Linked DNA regions of Pelodiscus sinensis. The protein of the gene in region 2 interacts with the protein of the main gene of each other region in a biochemical or structural test. Links are inferred from orthologs where the notes say so. Each region holds a gene or a part of one and is shown on either strand. Other genes may lie near its edges. The genes, in order: PDE6D, ARL2, TBCD and UNC119.

What was found.
Region 1: the proteins of ARL2 (region 2) and PDE6D are reported together in a solved structure, tested with the Homo sapiens proteins (2 studies listed by BioGRID and IntAct, with this or other methods). The link is inferred for Pelodiscus sinensis from reciprocal best matches to the Homo sapiens genes ARL2 and PDE6D.
Region 3: the proteins of ARL2 (region 2) and TBCD form a complex in vitro, tested with the Homo sapiens proteins (2 studies listed by BioGRID and IntAct). The link is inferred for Pelodiscus sinensis from reciprocal best matches to the Homo sapiens genes ARL2 and TBCD.
Region 4: the proteins of ARL2 (region 2) and UNC119 form a complex in vitro, tested with the Homo sapiens proteins (2 studies listed by BioGRID and IntAct, with this or other methods). The link is inferred for Pelodiscus sinensis from reciprocal best matches to the Homo sapiens genes ARL2 and UNC119.

What each region holds. Positions count from the first base shown.
Region 1 is NC_134720.1:49,904,122-49,911,187, reverse strand, and holds the start of PDE6D (retinal rod rhodopsin-sensitive cGMP 3',5'-cyclic phosphodiesterase subunit delta), read right to left. Parts: upstream 3,007-7,066; 5' UTR 2,839-3,006; coding exon 2,789-2,838; intron 1-2,788. UniProt on the Homo sapiens protein: Promotes the release of prenylated target proteins from cellular membranes. Modulates the activity of prenylated or palmitoylated Ras family members by regulating their subcellular location.
Region 2 is NC_134721.1:34,795,688-34,803,276, reverse strand, and holds the start of ARL2 (ADP-ribosylation factor-like protein 2), read left to right. Parts: upstream 1-4,572; 5' UTR 4,573-4,635; coding exon 4,636-4,763; intron 4,764-5,375; coding exon 5,376-5,486; intron 5,487-6,565; coding exon 6,566-6,728; intron 6,729-7,174; coding exon 7,175-7,255; intron 7,256-7,589. UniProt on the Homo sapiens protein: Small GTP-binding protein which cycles between an inactive GDP-bound and an active GTP-bound form, and the rate of cycling is regulated by guanine nucleotide exchange factors (GEF) and GTPase-activating proteins (GAP).
Region 3 is NC_134730.1:5,553,271-5,561,021, reverse strand, and holds the start of TBCD (tubulin-specific chaperone D), read left to right. Parts: upstream 1-4,748; 5' UTR 4,749-4,904; exon of another isoform or gene 4,905-4,991; intron 4,992-6,280; 5' UTR 6,281-6,306; coding exon 6,307-6,499; intron 6,500-7,751.
Region 4 is NC_134731.1:101,856-109,748, forward strand, and holds the start of UNC119 (protein unc-119 homolog A), read left to right. Parts: upstream 1-4,877; 5' UTR 4,878-4,974; coding exon 4,975-5,140; intron 5,141-7,893. UniProt on the Homo sapiens protein: Involved in synaptic functions in photoreceptor cells, the signal transduction in immune cells as a Src family kinase activator, endosome recycling, the uptake of bacteria and endocytosis, protein trafficking in sensory neurons and as lipid-binding chaperone with specificity for a diverse subset of myristoylated proteins.

The DNA.
Region 1 (7,066 bases), on a different chromosome or scaffold from region 2:
ACAGCAGCCTTACAAATGAAGTCTAAATCATGCTTCTTTAAGTATTTAAATGATGTTTTCTAATGAATCAAAAGACATCACTTTCCATGTGATACTTGCTTTTTGTCAATTCCTCCATCAGGGCTCAATTTCTATACTATTCCAAGACCCTGTCATTTTGAAGGAGCAAATGAAACTGAACTTATGTTGCTCCCAAATGATGGTGCTCAGCATTGTCATTAAGCTACTAAGATGGGCCATAATGTGTGTTAAAATTAATTACATTAGTCCTACACTGGTCTACTGGAAACTATTTAATTTCACATTTGCATATGCAGTGGTAGTATAGCTATGTCAGTCCTAGGAATTAGAGGGAGTGAAGGTGGGTGAAGTAATAACTTTTATTGGATTAACTTCTTTCACCAACAGAAGTTGCTCCAATAAAAGATATTGCCTTGCCTACACTATCTCTGAGGGTAAGTCTACACGACAGTGCTATTTTGAAATAATTTAGTCTGCATCTACACAAGCAGGCAGTTATTTCAAAAGAATGTCAAAATACTGTCAAACTGAAGGGTTTCTTACTCCTACTCCTGTAACCCTCATTGTACGAGGCATAAGGGAATAGAATCACAGAATCACAGGAAGAGACCTCGGGAGGTCATTGAGTCCAGCCCCTTGCCCAAAGCAGGAACAATCCCAACTAAATCAACCCAGCCAGGGCTTTGTCAAGCTGAGACTTAAAAACCTCTAGGGATGGAGATTCCACCACTTCCCTAGGTAATCCATTCCAGTACACTTCACCACCCTCCTAGTGAAATAGTTTTTCTTAATATCCAACCTAGACCTTCTCCATGAAGGAAAAAGTTCTATGTAGATGCTCCCAATTTTAAAATATGCTACACATAGCTCAATTTGTGTAGCCTTATTTCAAGTTAAAACCTGCGTAACCTAGGTCAAAGGCTCATGTTAGTACAGACAAGGCCTCCATGTAAATGAGCATAGTTCATCAAACTCATTGAGCATGAGTCTGGTTTATACCAATACCCTTTTATTCCACTATGGCAGTTTTACACTCACTTCACATTGCCAGAGCAAAATACAAATAAGTGATAAAAGCTGCTTCTCACCATTGAAGTAAAACTAGTTCTAGGTGTTTAATGCTGTACAGATGCACCCTTACATTTGCACAACATCTTCCCTTGCTAAAACTGAAAAAGTTTATTATTTTAATCAACTATACACAGGGATTGTATCCGTCCCATCCATCACTGAAATATAGCTGCTGCTTAAGTTTCCTAGCCCGCAAATGCTGGAGGGCCAAATAAAAACTAGCAGCTGGAGTTTATGCCCTGTGCACGTCTGAGGTCTTGAGCTAGTGGGAAATGAAGACTCTAGCTTGTTAGCTTAAATTTGTCAAAAGTTTAATCTTCTCTAATAGCCTGAACATCTCAGCCTTGGTAACAATATTCTTGACAACTGAAACATGACAGCTGCATGTACAAGGAAGAACTTCCAATGCTGCTACTCCAGAAAAAATATTTTTAAGACTGACTGGATACAGGGGGATCACTGCTAAAAAGAGGGGGGGGGAAATACCATACTTTCACAGGGAGAAACATCTGCTCACACTTTCAGATGGTAGCTAGTTGATTAAATCCTACATAGAACAGCTCAGAACATCATTCCACAGCTGTTAGAGATTATATACAAACTGATGCAGCAAAAATCTCAGCAAGCAAAATAACCAAAAATACTACAGTACCACAGTAGACACTACTACTTTTGCTCTCTTGAATTTGATCAGTAACTACAGTTTCCCCTAGCGTCCAGACCAAGACCAGCACCTTCCTACTTTACATTCATTACACTGAAAAATGAAAGGCTGGGTCTTTTAAAATAAACTTACCCTATTTCTCCTACTCCTTTCACACATGTACTCCTTTTTAATGGAATCTTTCCACCCTTTACTAAAATCCTGGGTAGGCGAGGAATCCAGGATTTCAATTCTCCTTCTTGCCTTAGGTTTCACTTCTTGCTCAGTTAAACAAAGCACATACAAATTTAAGATGAGCATCAGCGGGCCCCATGGAAGGGCAATGTATACCATGTTAGTGATTACACACAACAAGCACTCTAGATAGCAAGCTGTACCACATCCCACTGCCTGATAGGCAAAAGAGGGGGGGATTTTTGGGTCAACCAAAGGAACAAGGTAGCTACTTATCTACACCTCTTTTGGACTTTGAAGTTAGGCGTTTCCCTGCCAAGCAGAGGTGGATCCTTAAGTTGCAGCCACTATTCAGAGCGTAAGGCTGGGAAAGAAGGGATAGGACTGCGGTGAGAGGCAGTGATCATCCGCGTCTCAGGACTTTGCCCACACAGACACACCTGCCTACTTTTCATTCCCTCGCCCAAGCTCTGCTTCCCGAGCAAAAATGAAACCACAACCCTGGAGCACCAGGCACGGCTGCTCGCCAGCTGCCCTACCTGCTGTCCAGCAGCAGCCACGCCTGGACAGCTCCCGCGAGCGGATCAACTCGGCAGGGATGGGGGGTCCGGGGGGACGGCGGGTCCCGCCGCGCAGCGGGAGACGCGGGACGGCGCAGCCGCTGCCCCCCCCCCCCCCCACAGGTGTAACCCGGCACGGAGCCTGGCGGGCCCCCCCGCAGTTGGCCGGGGGGGGGGGGGCAGCGGATCTGCGCCCCGCTCCTCAGCACGCGCCGGGCTCGGTGACAGCACCGGGGGGGGGGGCCCTGCTCGCCGCCCCTCCCCCCCCGAACCGGCCCCTCCCCCGCCCGGCGGATACAGCTTGAATCCCCTCAGGATCTCCTTGGCCCGCTCGTCCTTGGTCGACATGGTCCCGCGGCGGCTCCGCTCCGCGCCCCGGAGCCGGGCGGGGGGGAGGGGGGCTGGGCGCGCTCACGGGCCTCACCGGGACAGCGACCGCGGCGCTCGGGACGCTGCACCCGCCACCGTCCGACACCCCCAACCAGAGCGGACCGGAGCCGCCCCGCCCCTGGGAGCGCCGGCCAATCGCCGCGCCCCGCGCCACCGCGCCCCGCCCCCTCGCTCCCGACCGACAGCGCCCGCAGCCAATCAGGCAGCGCCGTCTGCGGCGCGCAGGAAGGGAGGCTGCGCGGCGGTCGCTAAGGGGCACGTCCCAGCAAACTGACGTCGCCGAGAGACGGAGGCGGGAGCCAGGAGCGGAGCTGCAGCTGCGGGTCTCGGCCACAAGGGGCGCTGCCGCGCAATTGCGCATGCGCCGCTGAGGGTGCTTCGCTGCGCCCCCTGCCGGCGGCAGCATTGGCTGCAGGGGCAGGGAGCCCCCATCCTTAGGACCTGGCACACTTGGGCAACCCCACCCCCCAGCAGCTATAGGAGTAAAACAGCTGGCTGTGGCCCCCAGCACCACCACCCCTTGCACTGGGCCTCCTGCTGCAAAGGGCGAGTGCTTCCGCCTGCAGTCCCCCCTCGAAGGGCTAACCATCCGACATCCCAACATGGGCCAGAGAGCAACTCGCATATCCTGGTCAGCCTGTACCCCATAATGTTCCCTAGGGTGTGATGTCAGCCTTGCCTGCCTGCTCCCTCCCCTGTATGTAGCTGCACCCCGACTGGGTATAGTGCATGGTCCCAGCTGGGGCACTGAGACCACTTGCAGAGAGAATAATGAGTCTGCTCTACAGCCTTAGCTGAGATCCAACTGACTTTTAGCTCAAGTGCTAGAGCAGGGGAGGGCAGGGGCGTCCCATGAACCTAGGCAAACTAGGCAATAGCCTAGACCGACGCTGGCCGGGGCGCCCCATGATTACGTCACGGCCATTGACGGCAGTGCAGGCGGGGCCGCTGATCGCGCCTTCCGCCTAGGGCGCCAGCTGCCACAGCCGGCCTCAGGCCACTCCTGGGGGTGGGCAAAAGGGCCTCCGTGGGCCAGATCCGGCCCACCGAGTGGGTTGATCTGGCCCACGGAGGCCCTGCCGCTTCCCCCACCCCCAGGCCAATTAGGACCTGGGTGTGGGGAAATGCGAAGCTTCCTCCCACCCTGGCAGGACCATGCAGCGCTTTGAAGCACCATGCGCTCCTTGCAGAGTGGGAGGAGACATCACGTGCTCCCCCGCCTCCAAGTGCTGCTTGGCCTGGGGGTGGGAGGAGTGCGCAAAGTTTCCTCTGCCCTCCCCTCGTCCTGCAGCACTTCAAAGTGCCATGCACTCCTCGCAGGGTGGGAGGGAGCTTCGCACACTTCCCCACCCCTAGGCTCTGATTGGCCTGGGGTTGGGGGAGCATGCAACGCCTCTTCCCGCCCTGCCAGGGGCATGGGTGCCTAATGGGAAGGGGGGCAAAGGGGTTCCCCCACCCCGAGACCAATCATGGTCTGGGGCTGGGGTAGCCCAGAAGCATCCTGGCCCCACCAAAAATTATTGCCTCCCCCCCTTGTGCTAGAGGTTAATGCACTAAGCTCCAGAGGTCGCAAGTACAGTTCCGCTTGCAGCATTTCACAGTCAGGCCCTATGCCCGTGGATGGACATAGAATCATAGACCACTAGGCCTGGAAGGGAGCTTGAGAGGACAGCGAGTCCAGTCCCCTGCCCTCACAGCCGGACTCAACACCATCTAGACCAGACATGTCAAACAGGCGGCTGGAGGGCCACATGCAGCCAGATCGAAGTTTTTTGTGGCCCACCACTACATTTTATAAAAGGATAAAGTGCGGCCTGCTGGCTGCTCGGAGCACATGGCCAAGTGCAGATCACACACGGTCAGCCGCTCTACACACGGCACCGCAGCAACTGCTCGCGGCCAGCTGGGCTGCTCTGCTCACGGTCCCCAGCACGTGCTCCTGGCTGGCCGGGCTGCTCTGCGCAGGCTTCAAGTGCCTGCTCACAGCTGGCCGCTGTACTCACACCACCCCAGCACCCGAGGAAGAAGTGTGTGGCTAGGGTTGCCAGGTAGACCCCGCCAAAAACCGGCTGGGACGGGGGTGGGGCTGGCCAGGAGGGGGGCGGGACGGGAAGCAGAGCTGGCGGGGGGGGGGGGGGGGTCTGGGGGCCGTGGGGCTCGCCGGGAGAAAGGGGGGAGCTGGGAAGCAGAGCGGGGGGGATCGGGGGCCACGGGACTGGACGGAAGGAGAGGGAGGCCCAGAGGAAGGGGGGCGGGAAGCAGAGCTGGTGGGGGGGACGGGGTGCAGCCACTGGCCACAGCCGGAGTCCTTCGGGCCGCGGCCCCGGCAGGCACTCCCTCTAGTTGCGGGGGCGGGGGTAGGGGGAAGGCCTGCGAGTCACTCCCCCCGCCCGGCTTCTGCACACAACCAGAGGCTCCCAGCTGGGAATCGGGGCTGCAATTGGTGCTGGGAGCCTCTGGTCACGTGCAAAAGCTGGGCGGGAAGAGTGGCTGGGACCAGCCACTGCCTCCGCCCCGCCCAGCGTTTGCACGTGACCACAGGGCTACCAGAGCCAATCACGGCCCCGCCTCCCAGTCGCTCCTCCGCCCCCACCAGGCTTCCCTCCAGCGCCCAGCAGGGAACTCAGAAAATACCGGACATTGTACGTGTCCAGTATTTTCAGAATTTTTCTACCAGTCAGAGGGTACAAATACTGGACTGTCCTGGCAACCCTATGTGTGGTGGGCAGCTCCGGGACCCAGGCATTAGGTTGGGGAGGCTGGGAGTGCCTGGCTCTGGGGGAAGGGGGAGGCATTAGGTGGGAGGGGGCTGGGAGTGCCTGGCTCAGGGGGAGGGGAGAGGCATTGGACCACAGACCTTTAGCTCTTCCCCTTGTACAAGCATACAATTCAGTGTTAATTGCATGGTGTCACATACTGTTTCTCAAATAATATGATAGCATGCAGTTTTTTTCCACCAAATGGAATGGAATCAAGAGTACTGTAATATATACACACACAAGGGGCTGATTTGTGGTTCCCAGTTTAATTTTCATATGCCCTGAGTTTAAAATACCTAACTGTACTGTGTTAATATTTGTCATATGATTTCCTTGGAATGTAGGCATTGCCAGATCAGCCAATGGGACCCTCTAGTCTAGTCCAGTATTGTAACTACAAAAGTGGCCAATACAAGATGTGTCATAGGATGGGGTATGTGTGTGCTCGCACATGTCCACAAGAAATGATAGTGGGCAGTTATCTCCAGATAGGAAATGTTTCTTCTTCACTCCTATCAGTTTGTGCTGGCTTATGACCTGAAACAGAGTGGGTTTTAATCTGTTTTTTATCCTACCTATGGTTATTTTAATGTTTTCATTATCAATAAGCCTTCATTCTTTTAAAAGTCTAACAATCTTTTGACCTCACTGCTATTAAATGGCAGTGAGTTCCACAGATGAATTGGGAAAAAAAGTTTCCTTTTATTATTTTTTTGTCATGTTTTGGCTGTTTGCTCATCAATTCCCACTTTGCATACCTGATATATGATGAACCAGAGGCTCAATAGATTGTCTAGGAGTGATGTTTTGTGGCAAGGGACTAGGGCCGTGAAGGAGGAAAGCCCGAGACTTAAATGTACTTAACCAATTACAAACTTTATTGACTACAATTTGATTATATTCAATTACTGTCTCTGATTTGTTTAAGACAACGTAGCATGCAAATAAAACATACATTAAAGAAATTCAATACAAAAATAATAAGCTGATGAATAATATATTAAGCAATACTTACAAACCCAGTGACAATTATGATACACAGACAAAAACAACGCGTAGCATGCTCCGGATTCGTACACCCTTTCGTGATTCGGTGGGTGGGAGGCGGCCTTGGGTGATCAACCCCTTAGCCAGGCTGGACGATACGTTTCCTCTATCTTGATACGGAACCTCCCCGAACTTAGGGCTCAGGGTGCTTTATACTATAATTTTAACATCCGGTACCATATTAGGGTTATTTGATATTTTGTGGTACTGTGTACATATCAGGGTTCCTTCCTTGTGATATGACGTCTGATTGTGGTCAGTGCCTGATGCAGACATGATTGGCACACGTGAAAGCTAGCTATGTTTTTTGTTTCCCTGCTCCAGGTGCTTCTTAACTGATGTATATGACAGCTCATGTCTCTTATTCCTATCTTGTCCTG
Region 2 (7,589 bases):
AAGAGCCAGGGTAAAAAAACTAGCATTTGGTGCTTTGTAGGCTGGAGCAGGGGAATATGTTACCCTGTCTAGGGGACTCTGAGCAGCAGTAACTATAAAGCCTCCCATGTTCAGAGAGCTGTGTTAAACTTGACCTTGTGAATTACATGAGACAGGTTTGAATTTATTTTGCTACTCCCCAGTGGACTAAACCATCCCCGCCGCTAGCCAGATTGGCAGTGTCAGCTGAGGAGAAGCCTAGGAAGAGACTCAGAAGTGGAGGGTGCAGGACATGAGTGGGAGTTGGGGGGGGGGGCATTGGCTGCTGTGTGAGAGGAGCTCCAAGGTAGGGTAGCAGGAGGGCTGTGGTAGGTATTGAGGGGGATTGGCAGATCTGGGAGGAGAACCCAGAGGATTGTGGGTCAGGATTGAGAAGGCCATTGATAGAACCATGGAGAGGGGGAGTCGGGTTGGGATTAAGGGGCATTGGCAGAGCTGGGGGGGGGAGGGAGTGGAGCCCAGCCTGGGAATGCATGCGGCTGCAAGCCAGGACTGAGGAGCACCCGAAGAGCTGTGTGTGAACCCAGAACTGCATTGTTAGCTAATGCCAAGCTCCCCTGATCTTTAGCACTGGAACTCCTTCAACACCAAGGGCAGCCCTCTCTGTGAAGCCCTAGCATCTCTGAGAGCAGCTGGCTTCTTCTGTATCTCTGAACCCTGGCTCCAGCCCTCAGCTGAAGCCCAAACTGGGCTTGAGTGAAATGTGTTGCTCAGCGTGGGGCTCTGGGACTGGTGGGTGGCAGCTGGTAGAGCATCACAAAGGCAGAGGCTCTAGGGACAAGGTTTGTGACTAATAAACATCCTTGTTTAAGTAGCAATTGGGCTGGCTGCTGATTATTTTGTTTCTGCCTCAGTCCCTGGTTCCCTGCCAGTCAATGAAGATGACCTGCTGGCTTTGCGTAGGGGCTTCTCTTTGAGCAGCCACAGACCCTGACATCTTCTCCCCGCTGATCTCAGGCTGCTGAAGGAACCATCCCTCCCCTCCCACTTTGCACACAGAGCAAGTGGTGGGGCTGCTTGCTTCGGGGGTTGGACAACAGCCCAGGAGTTAGAAACAACTGGGTTTAATTCCTAGCTCTGCTGCAGACTGCTGGTGTGACCTTGGGCAGGTCATTTGGGCTCCACCATCTGTACAATGGGGATAATAGCACATCCCTGCCTCACAATGGGGAGGGGGAAAGGAGGGGAGGCTTTAAGGCACCCAGATGATGGCAATACCTGGCTCTTAGCAGATCTCAGATCACTTTATGAAGCAGGTCAGAATCATCACTCATTCAGGGGACTCTGAAGCACAAAGAAGGAATGTGACTTGCCCAGGGTCACCCAGGAGGTCTGTGGCAGAGAACCCCACTCTCCAGAGCCCTAGTCCAGTGAATTACCCCCCTAGGCCACACAGGCTCTCCTAATGGGGAAACACAGTTCCCAGGCTATGGGTGTGGTCCTAGAATGGGATCTGCCTCTAATGACCTTCCCTATTCCTCATTTTCTCTTCAAAGTACTTGCAGCTCCTTAATAGAGCCCGACAGCAGGAATCCTTCCCAGCACTGAGCTGAGATGTGTGTGCTATTAGGGGAAAAGAGTGGGATAGCTCTGGTGGAATGAAACCAGCCAGGCAAAAGGGTGTTCTCACATCAAACTGCTACAGCCAGATTCTCACACCATAGCTCCTTTGCCCCCTCCAGTAAAGGGATCATGTAGTGGGTGTAAATTACATTGTTAAAGCAGAGAGTAAAGGTGCCTTAGGCCCAGATCCTCAAAGGTATTTCAGCCCATAACTTCCATTGAAGGTAATGGAACCTGAATGCCATAGAGGATAGGGGCCTTGTACAGGCCTAGCCTGAAACTTGGTGCTCACCTCAGACTCTCAGAATTGAGATCTGACAGGTGGCATATCTGGTACCTGTTACTTTGCAAAGAGATATAACTCCACTGGTGGGTTGTGTGTGTCTGGGGCAACAAAGAACTCCCTCTACTAAACCTGTGTTCCTTTCACATTGTTCTTTAAGCTAGAAGCCCCTGTAGCTAGATGGGTGTGGGCATGTGGGAGGAAGAGGTGTAAGCAACTAGTGACTGCTGCACTGCTTTTGGGGCCGAGAGTAGCCAGGCTGCACCCTAGAGACCCAGCAACAGGGACTAGTCTCTTCTCAGACCCAAGGGGGTTAGAAGCTTGTGGGACACAGGATTGGGTCCACTTTCAACAAATTACATACAAAAGGACTGGTTTTGGCCTATTTAAAGCAGTACCATGCTGCACTCCTCCAGTTGGATGCAGTCAGAGAGGTATAGCAGTTCTGAGCTGTTCCCTACAGCAGTGGTGGATAACCTGTGACCTTGGGGCCGCATGTTGCTCATCGGGTTCTGTGTGTGGCTCACAAGATATTTTTCTTTACAGTTTTTCATTCATGGGGTTGTCCGCTAAGTTCTGTCTGCCTAGCTTTTTTCCTACTGGTATTACTAAAGCGATATGTATATAATCAAAGCGCTGTTACGGTTCAATCAGCACACGAGGTACACAAGCACAGTTAGCAAAACTACCGTAGCCCAGGAGACCATCCTGGGTACAACAATCTTGTGGCCCATTGAGATGGAGGGCCTGAATGGCCCCCACACTAGCCTAGGTTGCCCATTGCTGCTCTACAAGAAGGGGAGTAAGCTATAGCAGCCTCGGGTGCCTTTTTACCACTATCACTATGATCACTGGGGGTTGTCCTATATTTGCCAGTTTCCCTCTCCCAGCTGACAGTCGTAATGGAACAAACTGAAGCAAACAACAGTCGGGCCCTTCGTCTTTTGAGGAGAGCAATGTGATCTCATTGCTACCTGGGACGAGTTGAATAGAGAAATAACTTCTCCCAAAAGCTTATTGGTGATTAATAAAGTCAGTGCCCTCCTAGATACTATTTCCTACAACATTGTTTACTTTAGTTGCCAGTAGCCTCATTCCCCTTAGGAAAGCAAAAGTGTCCCCTCTCTCCAGGCTCACTCCTGTGCAGGGTTGAAGGACCGGTTTCTCTCTTACTCCTGAGGGTTGGACCCTGTGGAGGTAGGCAGAGGGTGTTTGCTCATTTGCTCAGGTAAAGGGGACTTTGCTCTCCAGAGGTCATACTCCACTATCACCTGCTAGTATGACATTCAGTCCCAGAATGGTGACACCAGTTTTCTCACTGATCAAATAGTTCAGTCTGTTCTATAGGCAAGGGAGACTTGGCGGTGACAGTGAAGTGAAGAATGGCTGCACATCTCCCTGCTGTTGGTTACTTGTACTGAATTTGTGTTTCTCTGCTCACCACCTTCAATAGCTGCCTGGTTGTGCTGCAGCACTTCTAGTAGAGAGATGCAGAAGCATTTGCACACATTGCATAGCACCAGCTAGGTGCTTTGCAGCTGTTGCAGCACCCTCTCCTTTCAGTAATAGATAGCTAAACTAAGGATGTTAAGTAACCGTTAATTTACTAGTCAAGTAATCAATGGAATTTCCATCGACTAGTCAATAGGCACTTTTTGCGTTTTTCCTTTGAAATGTACAAGAGCCCCCCGCTGGGGCTCTTGTACATTTCAAAGGAGGAATGTGGAATTCCGGGGCTGCAGGCAGCATGCCAGCTGTGAAATGTACAAGAGTCCCCAGTGGGAGCTCTTGTGCATTTCAAAGTGGCAGCGCAGCATGGAGCCGGGATCAGCTGTGCAGTGCTGCTGCTTTGAAGTACCTCCTTTGCTGCCTCTATCTGGTCGACTATTCCTTAACATCCCTAATCTAAACATAGTATATCATCCACCAGCTATGCAAGTAATGGGTGCTTTGCAGAATCAGCACCCCATAGCAGTCCTTACCCCCAGTGTAATGTGCACAGAAGCTCTGAGCTGTGATTGCGGAAAGTCAATCTTCAGTAACATGGGAGACATTAACACCGGTGAAAACAAAGGTGCCATTGCCTGTCTTAAGGGATCTGGTGTGCAGGAGGCCTTGCTTTCAATAAGGATGGCCGGTTTGCTCTTAGCTCTATCTCCAGAATCTGCATCAAAATAAACACAAACCTGTGCTATGACAAACTGGGCCCAGACATGGCCAAGCCCCCAGTGCATCTTCTCTCCTGCACTGGGATCTGTGCTGCCTGCAGAGATGGCAGGAACCCAGCTGGTGGGGTCAGGGCCAGTAGCTGCTAGCCTGGCTGTTGGGGGTGCACTGCTGCTTAGCTGATTCTTCCACCTACAGTCTCTCACAGCCCCCACAGCAGCAGTTTGCTTTCACCCTTGGCTGGTCACCTGGCTTCGAAGGGGTCCCATCCAACTGTCCCATTTTTAGCTTGGCTAGTTTTCCCTACCGACTTGTAAATGAACCCCTTTGAGGGGTTGTAGTACCACTCTCCGCCCGTAGGTGACGCTGTGGGCCAGCCGATGGTCCGCCCTCTCTGTGATTCCTGGGGTTAGCATCTGTGATTTCAGTCCCGACGCCTAGGTGGCGACGTGGGAAAATCTAGCCCAGTGAGTATTTCTCCTGGTGGCAGGGCTTGCTCTCGTTGGTTTTCGGCAAGGGCGGGACTTGTAGTGAGTGTACCCAATAGTGATCAGATCCATGATGATTGGCGGCGACGTAGCCCAATGGACGCTGGTTGTGGGAAGCCGGTGCCGGACGGGGCGGAAGAGGCGGCTGGTTTGCTGGTGATGGGGCTGCTGACTATCCTGAAGAAGATGCGACAGAAGGAGCGGGAACTGCGGCTTCTCATGCTGTATCCTTGTGCAAGGGGAGGGTGGGCTGTACCAAACGTTGCAGGATAAAAGGGGCTTTTAAGTGCGAGCGGCGATGGTTGTACCAAGATTTTGTGGGAGGCGGGTTTCCAATGGGGCTATACCAAGGGTCGGGGGAGAGGTGTATCCTGTGGGGCTGGGGGGTTGGGCTGTACCAAGGGCTGGGGGAGGGGTGTGCCCTGTGGGATTGGACTGTACCAAGTATTGTGGAGGGGTGTAACCTGTGGGGCTGGGGGCTAGGCTGCACAAAAGGTTGGGGGGGTGTCTTGTGGGCCTGGGATCTGGGCTGTACCAAGGGTTGGGGGTAGGGGTGGGAGAGCCTGGGCTATACCAAGGGTTTGAGAGGAAGGGATGTATCTGATCTGGGCTCTACCAAGTGTCCTGGGTAGGTTCTCTATGTTGTGGGTAGGGGGGTGGGATGTACCAGCTGTCCTGTATTCAGTGAATACAAAGAGGAGTGTACCAAAGGGTGATGGATGGGGGAGTTTACTAGGAGTTTCTTTTTTATGGGTTGAGCCACCATCCAGCTGTGACACGAATGTCCCACCTCCCCCATGTACTGAGCTGCCTTCTCCTTGACACATTTTCCACAGTGGTCTGGACAATGCTGGCAAAACCACCATCCTGAAGAAGTTCAACGGGGAGGATATCGACACCATCTCACCCACACTGGGCTTCAACATCAAAACCCTGGAGCACAGGGAGTGAGCGCCGGGCAGAGTGTCTGATCCATCCATGGGCCCAAAACCTGCCCCTCCCATCCATCCCTTGAACAGGATTGTCCCTTCTAAGTCTGATCCTTGCCCTCTCCCCAGACTGCAAACCCTCAACCTCTGCCCAGACCTAGTTTCAAATCCCCTTAGCCACTGGCAGTAGCACTGTGGAAAAGGATCTTGAGGTTTCAGTGGATTACAAATTGAATAATCAAATAAATTGAATAATACAAATTGAGTTAAAATGTGATGCAGGTGTAAAAGGCCTAATATTATTCTGGGGTGTATTAACAGGAGTGGTGTATGTAATTCAAAAGAGGTAATGGTTCCACTGTACTCTGGAATACTGTGTCCAGCTCTGTTAAGGGCTGCTTTAAAGAGGACCATCATCAGTTGTCTTGCCTTCAGTGGACATGGATAACAAGAAGCAACAGGCTTAATCTGAAGCAAGGGAGAGTTAAGTTTGATATTACAACATTTTTTTCTAACTATAAGAGTAGTTAAACTGTGGAATAGGCTTCCAAGGGAGGTTGGGAAATCACCACCAATGGAACTTTTTAAAAAAGAGGTTGGCCAAACACCTGTCTGGAATGGTATAGGTTTGCTGGGGGCCTACCAACAGTGCAAGGGGCTGGACTTGATGACTTTTCAAGGGCCTTTCCAACCCTACAGTTCTGTGATTCTATACCACACCCTTGATTTCACTGCCTAATAAACTCTGGTCTCCAGCCAGTTCTGTATTCTTTACTCCAAGTTCTGTACAGAGATACCTCACAGTTCCTGCTCCCCCTTGAGCTTAACCCTTTGGATTATGGGGGTGTGGTTCTTCTGCCCCCACAGGCTTACCTAAAGCAAGATGAGGTTCTCCAAATCACCAGCTCAGCCCCTTGCTCACTTTCTGTGGTTCTTAAGGAATTTGGAGCCAGGAAGGTTTGGTCTTCTCACAGCCAGCCAGATACAGAAGAAACATCCCCTCCTTCGTCCAGGATGCCTGTTCCATATTACATACTGGGATCTTGCCTGATTGTCCCTTTACCTCCATACTCTGTCTTTTTTCTTCTGTTCCCCAGCTTCAAACTGAACATCTGGGATGTGGGAGGCCAGACATCCCTGCGCTCCTACTGGCGCAACTACTTTGAGAGCACAGATGGTCTCATCTGGGTGGTGGACAGTGCTGACCAGCAGCGCCTGCAGGTCTGCAAGCAGGAGTTGCAGAGCCTCCTGGTGGAAGAGGTGGGAACTGCACCTGTGGAGGAAAGGGGGAGGAGGGTGTGCCAAGTGTCTTGGAGAATGGGCAGATGTATCCTGTGAGGGAAAGGAGGTGGAATATATGCAATAGGTTATATGAAGTCCCTTGGAGAGGGGGTATATTTTTTGGGCACTATCCTGTGGGTGGGTGGGCCAGCTTCTGGCTGAACCAGGCTTTGGTTTGGGCTGCCAGAGGGGCCTGGTTTGGTGCAGGTCTGCTGGAAGCAGGGCCTGCCTCTGCTGCAGAGAGGATCCTTGTCCCCCTGTTTCCAGGTCTTTCAAGACTCAAAAACAATCCCTGTCTGGGACAGAGCAGGAGAACTGTGGTCCAACTGCTAACTGACTGGGAGGGTGGTTGAAGGGTTAACAGGAGAATGGTGGGGCCAAGACAACTGGGCCATGCAGCTTAGCCTGTGCTTCTCTCCCTACAGCGCCTGGCTGGAGCCACCTTGCTCATCTTCGCCAACAAGCAGGACCTGCCAGGAGCACTGTCTTCCAATGCCATTCGTGAGGTAAGAGCCACTGGCCTGAAGCAAACTAGGGATCTTGGTCAAGGGACATGGACATAGGTACAGGGTTTTGGGCCTAGTGTCCCCACTGCTGTCCCCATGTCAGGGCACCAGTCCTGTGCCCAGGGGCCCCAGCCTGGGTCAGTGAGGGGCATGGACGGATAAGAGTGAGGGCACTGCTCAGCACCCCTGCTCCCTCTCCCCTCCCCCCCAAAAAAATGTGTTCCAGCACCACTGGGAGTGGGGTTTGTTGGTTGTAGGGTAGGGTGGGGAGGGACTGGAGTCAGCTCTTCTCTTCCCAGCTCTGGAAGGGGAATGGAGTAGAAGAGTTACGCCA
Region 3 (7,751 bases), on a different chromosome or scaffold from region 2:
TGATTAGTGGGACTGATAATACAAAGAGGCATGACAAAAAAGAGCCAGTACAAGATTGGATGGTGGGGTCTAGGAGGGCACGCAACAGAGTGAAGTTGCTAACCCTCCAGGAACAAAGCTCGCAATCCTACCACATGGGATGGGAATATAGTCCTGGAAGAGAGCTGAAGAGTGGCTGGAGGGTGAGCTATTGGGCTGGAATTAACTGTGGTGGAGAGTTTCTGGGGATAGGTGATGGCCAGCAAGAAGGAAACATTCTTGACATAAAAGTAACATGGTAGCAGCTATTTTTAGTATCTGCACCAACGACACTTCTCTCCCATCCATCGAATGTATGAAAACGGTTTCATTTCCAGAACTGAGTATGACTGGGCTCAGGATTGGCCATGGTCTTGTTCTGTGCTAAAACACACACTGAACATCCACAGTGACAATATGGAACTGCTCATGCAATAGTGCTGATCATGTAATTGATTGGGGTGGGATTCCATTCCCCTTCCAGGTCAGAAGGGAGCCAACCCACCCCACTATGGGAAGGGTGAGGTTCGTTGCTGGGGAATCAGCATCCTCTGTCCAGAGTATGCCTCAGGCTTGCCTCCTGGTTGGGCAAGTGTGACGTAGTGGAAGTGCCTTGCTAGGGCTGTGGCGACCTCTGCTGTCTGGTCCTTATGCAAAGGGGGCTCCAAACCTGTCTGACCAGCCACCCCCCATGGGGAGAAACAAAGGAAGGTGGATGCTGCCCTGGCTGGGGGGCAGGGCTGGAGGAGAGTTAGTTTAGTTCGGGTCTGGGAGCATGGAGGAAGCAGCCTCAGCAACAGGCTGGGGGGTTTAGAAGCCGAGACCCCTCCCCCATATCAAGGGGGGCTGAGGCATCCTAGGCCTGCCCTGTAACCTGGTGACATCTGTGCTGTGCTGTATTCTGGAGAGGCAATAAACTCCCTCTGTTCTACCAGTTGGTGGAGTCTGTGCATGCCATTTCGAGGGCGCAGGAGGCGGGGAACCCCAACGCGCCGTCACACTACCCCACTATGGCAAGGGTGAGGTTCGTTGCTGGGGAATCAGCATCCTCTGTCCAGAGTATGCCTCAGGCTTGCCTCCTGGTTGGACAAGTAACATCAGTTAATAGCCCAGACTCAGGTGCAAGCAGGATAGGAAACAGAGGTCACCTATTTAGACAGAGTAGCCTCAGTTCAACTCAGCCTCTGGTTTAGAGTGGAGCAGCACCGCAATTAGTGAGCTTAATCTGATTGCAGATGAAGCAGCAAATATTTAAGGCCCAGGCTCTAGTTCAGGTTCAGAGAAGGGCAGCAGCATATTTAATTAGCCTCTGGCTATCTGCCTGAGGAGACTACCACCCACAGATTGAATGGCAGGCAGGACACAGGCCCACCCACTCCACTATCTCCCAGTGGCAAAGTGGTCTGCCATTGAGTCAACAGTGATCCAGGCCTGCCACTCTATCACCGCTGCAGGCTGCTGAGTGTACCATTCTTGGGCCACCTCCACACGCCTCCTCTATGTGTATGGAACAGAAGTGTCTTGGTTGCTAGGTACCTATGTCACCAGAAGCAGCTCTTCCAGGGTCAGTTCAGCAGGAGTCCAGGGAATGCAAACTAGTCTGCATCTTCCTTTGGGGTGGGTTCAGTTTGGCCAAGGATCCAGGTCGCCCAGACCAATCATCAGCTTCTTCCAGGTCTACTACCAGCACAGACACTCAGGCTACATCTACACTGGCAGCTTCTTGTGCAAGAACAGCTGTTCTTGTACAAAAACTTGCCGGGTGTCTACACTGCACTTGCATTCTTGCGCAAGTAAATGTACAGTCTAGTATCGGAAAACAGGGCTTCTTCTGGTAGAGTTATTCCTCTCCCCAGGAGGAATAAACCTTCTTGCAAGAGCTCTTGTGCAAGAGGGCAGTGGAGACCGGAAACATGAATTTCTTGTGCAAGAAACCCCTATGGCTAAAATGGTCATCAGAGCTTTCTTGCGCAAGAGAGCGTCCACACTGCCATGGATGCTCTTGTGCAAAAGCACATCTCTTGCGCAAAAGCACATACCAGTGTAGACGCGCTCTTGTAGAAGACTTTTTGCGCAAGAACTCTTCCTTGCGCAAGAACTGTTTTGCGCAAGAAGCTGCCAGTGTAGACATAGCCTCAGTGAATGCATCTCTGCCAGTGGCTGGGTTCCAACTTAGCCCTCAACTCTGCTTTTTATACTTCTGGCCCTGCCCCTCTGATTGGTCTGGTGAGAAGTGGTCTTCCCCTTCTGGGTCAGAGGAGAACAAGCCAATCTGTCTCAGTACAGTCATAAGAACAGCCATACTGGGTCAGATCAAAGGTCCATCTAGCCTAGCATTCTGTCTGCCAACAGTGGCCAATGCCAGCTGCCCCAGAGGGAGGGAACACAACAGGGAATCATCATGTGATCCCTCTTCTGTCATCCATTTCCACACAAACAGAGGCTAGGGACACTATTCCTACCCATCCTGGCTCAGAGCCATTGATGGACCTAATATTCATGAATCTATCTAGTTCTTTTTTGAAACTTGTTAAAGTCCTTGTCTTCACAACATCCTCTGGCAAGGAGTTCCACAGGCTGACTGTGCACTGAGTGAAGAAAAACTTCTGTTTGTTTTAAACCTGCTGCCTATTAATTTCATTTAGCAACCCCTAGTCCTTATATCGTGGGAATAAGTAAATAACTTTTCCTTATTCACTTTTTCCACACCAGTCATGATTTTATAGACCTCTATCATATCCTCCCTTAGCCTCCTCTTTTCTAAACTGAAAGTTCAAGTCTTTTTAATCTCTCTCCATATGGGACCTGTTACAAATCCCAAACCATAGACTTCTAGAATACTAAGTCATCAAGTCCAGTCTCCTGCCCTCATGGCAGGACCAAGCACAGTCTATATCATCCCTGATAGATGTCTATCCAACCTGTTCTTAAATATGTACAGTGATGGAGATTCCACAACCTCCGTAGGCAATTTATTCCAGTGCTTAACCACCCTGACAGTTAGGAAGTTTTTCCTAGTGTCCAACCTAGTTCTCCCTTACTACAGTTTAAGCCCATGGAATGTTCTGATTGTTTGCTAGCCATTCTGCTCACAATCTATGCAGAGTGACGTCTGGCTGAGACACATTCAGTGCAGCGCTTACTGATAGGAGCAGGGTTTTGCATTTGCTGAGTTGGATAGGGCTGCTCTCCAGGGACCACAGACATCCTAGTGTGAATTTTGGATACTCTGTGTTGCAAACAGGTCACATGCACCCAGAGCTAATCTAAGGGTACGTCTAGACTACATGCCTCTGTCGCCAGAGGCATGTAGATTAGGCTACCCGACAGAGTAAAATGAAGCGGCGATTTAAATAATCGCCGCTTCATTTAAATTTACATGGCTGCCGCGTTGAGCCGACAAACAGCTGATCAGCTGTTTGTCGGCTCAGCGCGATAGTCTGGACGCTCCCCTGCCGACATCAAAGGGAGTTGTCGACAACCCAGGTATGCCTCCTGGGATGAGGCATACCTGGGTTGTCGACAACTCCCTTTGATGTCGGCAGGGGAGCGTCCAGACTATCGCGCTGAGCCGACAAACAGCTGATCAGCTGTTTGTCGGCTCAACGCGGCAGCCATGTAAATTTAAATGAAGCGGCGATTATTTAAATCGCCGCTTCATTTTACTCTGTCGGGTAGCCTAATCTACATGCCTCTGGCGACAGAGGCATGTAGTCTAGACGTACCCTAAGGCTTGATAGGGAAGCTCTATGAGTAGGTTGATTAGGGGCTGGCAGACACTACATTCTTACTGGAGTGTATCAGCATTAGTCAGACTTCATTAGCTCAGTCACTGCATACAGCAGGGCTACGTCTACACTGGCAGCTTCTTGTGCAAGAACTGTTTTGCAGAAGAGTTCTTATGCAAAAAGTCTTCCACAACAGCACGGCTACACTGGTATGTGCTTTTGCACAAGAGTGTCCATGGCAGTGTGGATGCTCTCTTGCGCAAAAAAAGCTCTGATGACCATTTTAGCCATAGGGGTTTCTTGCCCAAGAAATTCATGTTGCCTGTCTATACTGCCCTCTTGCGCAAGAGCTCTTGTGTACAAGGGCTTATTCCTCCTGGGGAGAGGAATAACTCTTCCGGAAGAAGCCCTGTTTTACAACGCTAGACTGTAAATTTATTTGCGCAAGAACACACGTGCAGTGTAGACACGGGCAAGTTTTTGCATAAGAACAGCTGCCCTTGCGCAAAACCCGCCAGTGTAGACGTAGCCGAGGTGTCTTCATTCCCATACCCATTTTGAAGGGCTGTCCCAGAAGGGTTCTCCCTGATCAGCCAGCTGTTCAGCCTGGTGTAAAGGGAGAACACGAGGCAGATGCCCCCCCTCGGGCCAGGACAGCTGAGTGCCAATGGGGGACCAGGCCCTCTCTGGGTCAGGTACGGGCCAGCACTGTGGACACGTGCGCGCCCAGCTTTGAACTGTGCAGGCCCGGAGCGTCCGAAGCCCCCAAGCGCCGCTCGCTGATTTCCAAGGGGAGGTGGCTGCCTGGCTCGTCGGGAGCGCGCCCCGCGGCACCTCAGCGCGGGCACCCAGGACTCGGGGACCTGCCCCTGGACGCCGCCCGTGCGAGGCTGTAACGGCACCAGACGTTCAGGCCCCCCCGCGGGGCAAGGGGAAGCCCGCGGCTGAGGAGACAAAAATCCCCCCCCCCGGGCTGTGCGTGGAGCTCTGCGAGCCCCGCCCCCGCCCCTGCAGGGAGAGGCCGCGTTCGGGAACGGCGTCGTTCCCGCGTTGTTCTGTCCCGCACGGCGCCCCGTAGCCGGCAGGCTGGGCGGGCAGAGTTGAGCCTGGGCCGGGATCCGCGCAGAGGCCCCCGGGAGCGGAGCCGCGGTTGCCAGGGTAATGCGGCCCTGCGTTCGGAGCGCGTGAGGGGTCCATGCAGCTTCCTCTGCCTGGCCCGGGGCCGGGAGTGGGAGCCCGCTGCGGGTGGGTGGCGCCTCTGACGAGCCCCCTCCCGCGGCTGAGGGATGCTGGGCCCCGGCTGCGCGCTGGAGCTGCCGGCCACACCCCGGCTCCACGCAGACCCCAGTCTGCGCAATTGGATTCAGTGGCTCTCGGCACCTGGGGCGCGGGGTCTCACACGGCCCGCGGGCCCCCTACAGCCCCCCCCCGGCAGTCCCTGCGAGCGGGGGGGGTCTTTCCCCATCCGCCAGCCCCCCGCCCTCTCCCCCATAGTACCCCTTTCGCCAGGTCCCCTCCCCCGAGGGATGAGGCTCCTGGAATTACTGCGGGGGCAGATCTGTCACTGGGCACAGCAGGGGTCGGGCCCTCTGTACTCACCGTGCTTGCTGGAGAGCAGGGGAGCGGAGCGGAGCTACTGCCCTGGGCGAGCCCCCCAGTAGGGATGTGAAGGACTAGTCGACAGGATAGTCTGTTAGGTGCTTCTCTCCTCCCTTGCTGCCTCTATCAAATAGGGCAGGGAGAAGAGGGGGGGTACTTAAAAGCAGAAGCGCCGCATGGAGCCTGGGGTCAACTGTTCCTTGCAGCGCAGCGCTGCCACTTTGAATGCCACCGGCAGCGCTGTGTGGAGTCCGGGATCAGCTGAAGGCTCCCCCACTGACCCCGTTCTCTATGTGGGCTGCTAGCTTCAACGGTGGAGGTGCCTTATCGACTAACCCAGTGTTTCTCAAACTGTGCTCTGCAGAGCCCTGGGGCTCTGTGAGGTTGACAAACTGGAAACATCGATAGGTACAACACATACAAGACAGCTAGGGCTCTGCATTAATTTTTATGCATGTAAAGGGCTCCAGAGCTCAGAAAGTTTGAGAACTGCTGGACTAATTGAATAGTCAGTGAAAATATGCATCAACTATTCGAGTAGTCAATTACCCGATAATTAATATCTTTATCCCCAAGGCTGCATTGCTCTAGGAAAGAGATTTGGAAGGGAAGGGATGGAATTGGGATGGGGATAGGGTTTATGGGACATGCCTTCTTTGGGCCACACAGACTCCCAAGCCAGAATGTGAAAAAGCTGTAGCTGTAGATGGCCCATGGGTGATGAGTTTGTGACCTCTGTTAAATTCCAATGTATGGAGACTTCTCTTTCAATCCTGCCCCCTATATTGGATTTTTGGGGTCATGGTGGCCCCTCTATTAGTCCTCCTCCGTATCCTGGTGTGGGGTGTTGATTTGGTTGTGGTGATTATTCTTTCATCTTACTCTACCTGATGTGTGATGTGGGGTTGAAGTATTGTTTGTTCTTATGTTACCAGGGAAGAATTGATTGCTGGTTTTGGAAATGGCATTGAGTGAGATGGAAGGCGATGGCTCAGAAGAGGAGCAAAGCGGATGCCAGGAGCCAGATGTCATTGCCAGTGGAAATATATTGGAGAGTTTCACAGAGAGTCAAGAAATCAGAGGGTTAATTAACAACCTGAGAGGGGTGTATGGGGATCAGGGAACACGAGAGGTGACAACTGAAAAATTCATAGGTAAGGTCTGAGGATGTACAACCTTTAGGGGGTATATTTTTTATTATAGTTGAAATACTGCTAAAGAACAGAGGGTAAACTAATGTTTTAGACCAATTTTTGCTCTGAGGAAGATTAGTTTTATTATAGAATCATAGATACTAGAACCGGAAGGAACCTTGAGAGGTCATCAAATCCAGTCCCCTGCCCTTATGGCATTCCAAGCTTATTATTCATATCAAGCTTATTAGTCGTGATAGTGGAAGATCTTGGCTGTCTGAGCTGTCATAAAATATCAAGGAAACCATTCCAGAATGAACAAGCAGTAGGTTTAGATACATTTTTAATAATTGACTTTAAGGGTGAATTATCTATCCTTGGGCTCGGTCCTAGTCCTAGTGAAGTCAATGCAATCAGGAAGCAGATCTATTTTAGTTCCTGTCCTTGTAATGCTGCTGTTTGATTATTGGTGTAATGAAATGAAGTATTGCCATCTAGCTGTTAAAGTACAGGTCTTGGAGTTGGAAGATATGAGTTGTTACATCAGTTCATTCATTTGCCTCCTATGTGACTATTAACAAAGTAACTTAAGCTTAACAGGTGATCTTTACTGGGTATGCTCTGGTATATTAGGGATGTAACCGGGTAATGGTTAACTGGTACTTGGGAGCAGCCCCAGCCTGTGGCCCAGCCATGAGCTGAGCTAGCAGCCCCTGCAACGGGGGTGGCGCAGCCACCATGGTGGCAGCCCCCCCACCCACACCACTTTAATTGGTTCAATGGTTAAATGCAGTGTTAGTGTTATGTTTAACCAGCTAAAAGGGATTTTACATTCCTGTTAGCCATATGGGCAGGGATGGTGTCCCTAATCACTGTTTCCCAGAAGCTGGGAATGAGAGAATGGATCACTTGATGATTTCCTGTTCTGTTCATTCCATTTGGGGCATCTGTCATTGACCACTGTTGGAAGACAGGATACTGGGCTAGATGGATCTTTGTTTTGACATAATGTGGTTGTATTTATGTTATTTCTGATATATAGTTATTTTGTCATCCATGTCCTGTATATTTTTTTTCACCTATAAGCACAGCCATCCTAGACTGTAATTTTTAGGGGATGAGACAGTAAGCTACAAAATTAATGTAATTATGTTTTAGCACATTTTCACTAGTTCTTTTGAACTTTGGTGTACAGGCAGTCCCCGGGTTACGTACAAGATAGGGACTGTATGTTTGTTCTTAAGTTGAATTTGTATGTAAGTCGGAACTGGCG
Region 4 (7,893 bases), on a different chromosome or scaffold from region 2:
AGGCATAGCATCTGTTAGCATCGACATCTGTTGGGAAACCTATACGGCAGTACACAGGCAATCCAGGAAGTTTTTGGAGAATGTTGGGGATAACTACTTGACGCAAGTGCTGAAGGATCCGACCAGGGGCCGTGCGCAGCTTGACCTGCTCACAAACAGGGAAGAACTAATAGGGGAAGGGGAGGTGGGTGACAACCTGGGAAGCAGTGATCATGAGATGGTAGATTTCAGGATTCTGACCAAAGGAAGAAAAGAGAGTAGTAAAATACACACCTTGGACTTCAAAAAAGCAGATTTTGACTCCCTCAGAGATCTGATGGGCAGAATCCCTTGGGATGCTAACATGAAGGGGAAAGGAGTCCAAGAGACCTGGCAGTATTTTAAAGAAGCCTTATTGAAGGCACAGAAAGAAACCATCCCGACGCGTAGCAAGAGAGGCAAACGTGGTAGGAGACCGGATTGGCTTACAGGGGAAATCCTTGGTGAACTTAAGCACAAAAAGGAAGCTTACAAAAAGTGGAAACTTGGACAAATGACCAGGGAGGAGTTTAAATGTCTAGCTCGAGAATGCCGGGGGGTTATCAGGAAGGCAAAAGCGCAAACGGAATTGTGATTGGCTAAGGATGGGAAGGATAACAAGAAAGGTTTCTACAGGCATGTTAAGAAGAAGAAGGTGATCAGAGAGAGTGTGGGGCCCCTACTGGATGAAGGAGGTAACCTAGTGACAGATGATGTGGGGAAAGCTGAAGTACTCAATGCTTTCTTTGCCTCTGTATTCATGGACAAGGTTGGCTCCTGGACTTCTGCGCTAAGTGACGCAAGATGGGATGAAGATGGACAGCCCTTGGTGGGTAAAGAACAGGTTAGGAACTATTTAGAAAAGCTAAACATACACAAATCCATGGGCCCAGATTTAATGCATCCGAGGGTACTGAGGGGTTTGGCAAATGTCATTGCGGAGCCTTTGGCCATTATCTTTGAAAAGTCGTGGAGATCGGGAGAAATCCCGGATTCGAAAAAGGCAAATGTAGTGCCCATCTTCAAAAAAAGGAAGAAGGACAATCCAGGGAACTATAGGCCGGTCAGTCTTACCTCGGTTCCTGAAAAAATCATGGAAGGGATCCTTAAGGAATCCATATTGTGGCACTTGGATGAGAGGAAAGTGATTAGGAATAGTTGGCATGGATTTACAAAGGGCAAGTCGTGCCTGACCAATCTGATTAGCTTCAATGATGAGGTAACTGGCTCGGTGGACATGGGGAAGTCAGTGGATGTGATATACCTTGCCTTTAGCAAGGCTTTTGATACAGTCTCCCACAATATTGCCAGCAAGTTAAGGGAATGTGGATTGGATAAATGGACGGTAAAATGGATAGAAAGATGGATAGAAGGCCTGGCCCAGCGGGTAGTAATCAACGGCTCGATGTCAGGATGGTGGTTAGTTTCTAGCGGAGTGCTCCAAGGTTCAGTTCTAGGACCGGTTTTGTTCAATATCTTTATTAATGACCTGGATGAGGGGATGGATTGCACCCTCAGCAAGTTTGCGGATGACACTAAGCTGCGGGGAGAGGTAGATACACTTAAGGGCAGAGATAGGGTCCAGAATGACTTAGACAAATTGGAGGATTGGGCCGCAAGAAATCTGATGAGGTTCAACAAGGACAAGTGTAGAGTCCTGCACTTGGGACGGAAGAATCCCAAGCATAGTTATAAGCTGGGGACCAACCAGTTAAGTAGTAGTTCTGCAGAAAAGGACCTGGGGGTTACTGTGGATGAGAAGCTGGATATGAGTCACCAGTGTGCCCTTGTAGCCAAGAAGGCTAATGGCATATTAGGTTGCATTAAGAGGAGCATTGCCGGAAGATCCAGAGATGTCTTTATTCCCCTTTATTCGGCTTTGGCGAGGCCACATCTGGAGTATTGTGTCCAGTTCTGGGCCCCCCACTACAAAAAGGATGTGGACACACTGGAGAGGGTCCAGCGGAGGGCAACCAAAATGATGAGGGGGCTGGAGCATATGACTTATGAGGAGAGGCTGAGGGAGTTGGGTCTGTTTAGTCTGCAGAAGAGAAGAGTGAGGGGGGATTTGATAGCAGCCTTCAACTTCCTGAAGGGAGGTTCCAAAGAGGATGGAGAGAGGCTGTTCTCAGTAGTGACAGATGGCAGAACAAGGAGCAATGGTCTCAAGTTGTGGTGGGAGAGGTCCAGGTTGGATTTTAGGAAAAACTATTTCACTAGGAGGGTGGTGAAGCACTGGAATGGGTTACCTAGGGAAGTAGTGGAGTCTCCATCCCTAGAGATGTTTAAGTCTCGGCTTGACAAAGCCCTGGCAGGTTGATTTAGTTGGAATTGGTCCCGCATAGAGCAGGGGGCTGGACTTGATGACCTTCTGAGGTCTCTTCCAGCTCTATGATTCTAGGCTGCAAGCTGTCCTCCCTAACTGAGCTGCCTTGAAATGAACAATCAAAGCAGACAGGTCTGAGGCACCAAGCAGTGCTCTTGGCTAGAATCTTATCCTGTGTGGTTTGTAGCATGCAGTCCTCTTGATTGGTCAGTAACTAGATCCATCTCATAACCACTGATTCTGATACCCACTGTGGCCTGCTTCCTTTATCCAGCAGTCTTACCCGAAAAGGGCAGTTGTAGCAGGCAAGATGTCTCAAAACACAGCTGTGGAATCAGAGCCGTCTGGGCTGTTTCCTACCTACGCTACACCAGTGAGGTGTAATGAGGCACCAGGGCTTCAGTCATGGGCAGCAGCTCCTACTGCCCTCTTACCTCCCCTCCCCCATTCCACTACCCCCACCTCAATCCAGCTCCTGCTGTTTCATCCTGATCCCCTTGCCGGCTATGTCTAGACTGGTATGATTTTCTGCAAATGCTTTTAACGGAAAAGTTTTCCGTTAAAAGCATTTGCGGAAAAGAGCATCTAGATTGGCACGGACACTTTTCCGTAAAAGCACTTTTTGCGGAAAAGCGTCCATGCCAATCTAGATGCAGTTTTGCACAAGAAAGCCCTGATCGCCATTTTCGCAGTTGGGGCTTTTTTACGCAAAACAATACCGCATTGTCTACACTGGCCCTCTTGCGCAAATGCTTTTGCGCAAGAGGGCTTTTGCCCGAATGGGAGCAGCATAGCATTTCCGCAAGAACACAGACAATCTTACATGAGATCGTCAGTGTTCTTGCGGAAATTCAAGCGGCCAGTGTAGACAGCTGGCAAGACTTGCCAGTCTAGACGCAACCACCTAGTATTGTTAGCATAACTTGACCTGCTGTACTTACTATTCCTACTGCATGGGGCCTGAAACTCCTAACAGAGTGAAGTTTCAGCTGTCCATTATGTTCCAGGTACAGCCAGTGTTACTTTGAATGAGAAGCAGTGTTGCTGAAAGCCAGCCCCACTTCTGTTTTGGTAATGGAGAAGGCTGGAAGAGGCTGAGAGTTGGATCAGGATGCAGTTGGGTGTATTTCCATTAGTTTGCAGCATTGGGTAGAACTGAACTAACTTCTGCCTGGATTGGCCTAGCAGCAGGATTTGAATGGACTCCTAGCTTCTTGATTCAATTTTGCTGCTGAAAATGAGGATACAGCATGACCTATCACACACTTCAGTGTAGACTGCTAGCAAGTGCTCTTTGAATTGCAACTTGATGCTGCGTGGCCTACACCGTTCCTGAAGTTGCATTATCCAACTCCAGGCACATCCAGTGCAAGGCTAGCTGAACTGGTAAGGTAACCTGTGTGTGCGTGCGCAAACATTGAAGTAGTGTGAAATAAACCTGCAACTGCCTTTGCTTTTCTCTTTAAAATGTGCATTTGCTACTAGTCTGGATTGACAGTAGCCACCTTAATTATGTCTATTAAATCTCCTTAGGAAATGCCTTTCAGTTTGCTATATCTCATTTAAAATAAGGATGTGAGCCAGCATCCTGATGGGTCTAAACAGCTACTTTTCAGAAATAGAAGCATAAGAAATTTCTGGATTAAAAATTCCAGCAGCTCCACACTGCTTAAAGTATTTGGGAAGAGGAGAGGGGTCAGGCAGTGACTGCAAGCTCTATACCAACAACGGGCAGCATAGGCTCTTCATCTCAGTTGGCCACAAGACTTATAATCAAGGTGGTCTTCTGGGGTGGGGTAGTTTTGCTAACTGGAATTTGTGGGGTGTGCCAATTGAACTGGAACAGCACTTTGGATGCAGAGAGCACAGAACTCTCACAGTCAGTGTTGCGTGTGACCAGCCCTCCCTTCCTATGCCCTTGTCACTTTAGTAATAGTGGTAGGGGAAAAAATGACAGAGACAGAAACTAGCATAATCTGACCCTCCGGATGTGGACACTGGTGAATGAAATGTCTCTTAAGCCACACACAGAACCCTGACGGGCTGCATATGGCCCATGGCCTGCAGGTTGCTCACCACTGCTCTAGCCTTTGTCTTGCTCCTGCAGCTGAGTCACAGTCCTCTGAAAACTGGCTTACAGAAGAAGGGGCTATATAGAGGATGGCTGTGAACTGCAGAAAGCCCTTGAACCTCCCGTGTGTATCATCTGCACTTTAGACTGATTCGCAGGCTTCCCCTCTAGCAACCTGACCAGAAAGCCCCTTCCCCACACCCTCTGCCATTTCTGCCCTAGAAGAGTTGGGATGAGGGCAGGCAGTGGGGCGCTGAGTGGAGGGGACTTACAGACTGGCCTGCGGGAAGGCAACCGAGCATGTCTTTCCCTGGCCGCGGTAGCCGGTTTCTGCTGGCTTGGAGGGAAGGCAGCCAGCATCTGGCCGCAGCCCGGCGGGGGCATTGACAGCACCGCGGCTGGGCTGGAGACGGGGCAGACAGGCAGGGTCGGTGGAACTCCCGGCCACTGACGGCGGGGAGGGGCCGCGTGGCCCCACCCGCCGCGGGCGGAGCTAGGCCCGGGCGGATCGGCGGCAGCTGGGCTCTGCCGGCAAAGACGCCGAAGCCGCGGGCGGGGGATGAGTGAGCCCGCCCTCCGCGCCGAGAGTCGCGCGGGCCGGCCGGACAGCGCGGCCATGCGGGTGAAGCGGGGCGGCGGGGCGGCGGGCCCCGAGGAGCAGGAGCTGCTGCGCAAGCCGCTCATCGGCCCCGAGGACGTGCTGGGCTTGCAGAAAATCACGGGCGGTGAGTGCTCGGCCCGGCCTGCCCCTGCAGAGGGGCCCGCCCCCGTGGGCCCCGGCCTGCCCCTTCGCTTCCCCTTCCTCGGGGGTGCCAGTCCCTGCAGGGGGAGGTGTGCCCACCCTGCAGCGGGCTGGCTGGGGCCCTGGGCTTGCATAGGGCTCCTGCCTTGTTTCCAGTCCCTGCAGGGGGAGGTGTGCCCACCCTCCAGCGGGCTGGCTGGGGCCCTGGGGCACGGGGCTTGCATAGGGCTCCTGCCTTGTTTCCAGTCCCTGCAGGGGGAGGTGTGCCCACCCTGCAGCGGGCTGGCTGGGGCCCTGGGGCCCGGGGCTTGCATAGGGCTCCTGCCTTGTTTCCAGTCCCTGCAGGGGGAGGTGTGCCCACCCTGCAGCGGGCTGGCTGGGGCCCTGGGGCACGGGGCTTGCATAGGGCTCCTGCCTTGTTTCCAGTCCCTGCAGGGGGAGGTGTGCCCACCCTGCGGCGGGCTGGCTGGGGCCCTGGGCTTGCATAGGGCTCCTGCCTTGTTTCCAGTCCCTGCAGGGGGAGGTGTGCCCACCCTCCAGCGGGCTGGCTGGGGCCCTGGGGCACGGGGCTTGCATAGGGCTCCTGCCTTGTTTCCAGTCCCTGCAGGGGGAGGTGTGCCCACCCTCCAGCGGGCTGGCTGGGGCCCTGGGGCACGGGGCTTGCATAGGGCTCCTGCCTTGTTACCAGTCCCTGCAGGGGGAGGTGTGCCCACCCTCCAGCGGGCTGGCTGGGGCCCTGGGGCCCGGGGCTTGCATAGGGCTCCTGCCTTGTTTCCAGTCCCTGCAGGGGGAGGTGTGCCCACCCTGCAGCGGGCTGGCTGGGGCCCTGGGCTTGCATAGGGCTCCTGCCTTGTTTCCAGTCCCTGCAGGGGGAGGTGTGCCCACCCTCCAGCGGGCTGGCTGGGGCCCTGGGGCACGGGGCTTGCATAGGGCTCCTGCCTTGTTTCCAGTCCCTGCAGGGGGAGGTGTGCCCACCCTGCAGCGGGCTGGCTGGGGCCCTGGGGCACGGGGCTTGCATAGGGCTCCTGCCTTGTTTCCAGTCCCTGCAGGGGGAGGTGTGCCCACCCTGCAGCGGGCTGGCTGGGGCCCTGGGCTTGCATAGGGCTCCTGCCTTGTTTCCAGTCCCTGCAGGGGGAGGTGTGCCCACCCTCCAGCGGGCTGGCTGGGGCCCTGGGGCACGGGGCTTGCATAGGGCTCCTGCCTTGTTTCCAGTCCCTGCAGGGGGAGGTGTGCCCACCCTCCAGCGGGCTGGCTGGGGCCCTGGGCTTGCATAGGGCTCCTGCCTTGTTTCCAGTCCCCATTTGGCTGGAGTGACCCCTTGTTCCCTAAGGCCTCTGCTAGCCTGGCCCGGCCCTTCCCTCCTGTCTGTGTGCCCAGCAGTCTGTGCCAGGGCAGAGGCCCTGCTTTGCCCAGTTGGGCAAGGGCGGAGGTGGGGGGTACGTCGGAGACCTGCTGAATTTTGTCTGTCCTCTCGCTCCATCTCCCGAAGGCCAGCCCTGCCACTGGGTATTTACTGCATGTGGGCTGTGTCTCTGGGGGCTGCCTGAGGACAAAGGGGTGGCACAGGACAGCACCTTCCCCCGAAGAGGGGGGCATTGATGGTGTAGGCTGAGGAGCTGGTGCTTAAACCCTGAAAATGCAGGGCCAACTAAGTCTCCGAATTCAGAAGCACCCAGCTCCTTCAGCCTTTAGCTTTGTTGTTAGAGGGGACAGCTTCAGTGGGACACAATGTTTCTCTGTCCGTGTGGACAGACTATGGGACAGCTTGAGGTGGTGGCTTTGTGCTGCATGTTCCCTAGCTGATGCCCAGAGACACCTGCCCTGGTCTGAAGTTCAATCTGAAGTTTGTGGCCTGGTTTCCTGTGTTTGCAAGACAGCTATGCATGAGCCAGCCCTGTGGGCAGAGCCCTGGGTGCTGGGGGCAGCACTGAATGGTGATGGCACTTCTTGCCATTGTGCCTGGCTGTGGAGTTGGGGGTGAACAGCATCAACGTAACTCACTGGATGGGGGGAGCTGCAGTGACTTTCCCACCTTCCACTTGGCTTGGGGTGGGGAAGAGGATCAGGGAGAAAAACCATGGTTTGCTAAGCTTGTAACCCAGGATTGTTCCTTAAAATAGTTTCGCGTGGGGTTTTCTGTGCCTTCTAAATCGCTTTGTGATTCTGCCATAGTCTGTTCTTAAACTCCTCTTCTGTTCAGCTGGCTTTGCTGAGAGCCCACATGCCCTATGTTGGTCACTGCTGCAAGAGGAGGGGCAGGTTATGGCTGTGGAAGAGAGTCTTTGCTCTCTGAGCTTCTCTTCCTCCATGCACAAAGTATCCATGGAGCTGCTGGTCTCTACTGGGGACTTTGCGCAGAGGGCAGGAGAATGCCTCCAGGTGACCCCTTGTGCTGTGTAGGTTCAAAGGGGGAACCAGTCCTTTGGAGGCTAGTCACTGTGGGGTAACACATCTGAGTTATTAGCCCTGCTGATTGATGAGGAACAGGCTGTTGTGCTTTCCAGCCGTGTGCCTCTAGCATGTTGCAATGGGACTTGGGGGTTCAAGTCTTTCTGGCCTCTGCTGATCACAGAAGTACCAAGAACGTAAGAACGGCCAGGTTGGGTCAGATCACCTGTCCATCTAGCCCAGTATCCTGTTGGCCAACAGCGGCCAATACCAGATGCCCCAGAGGGAGGGAACACCACAGGTAATCCTCACGTGATTCCTCCCATGTCACCCATCTCCTGAGAAACA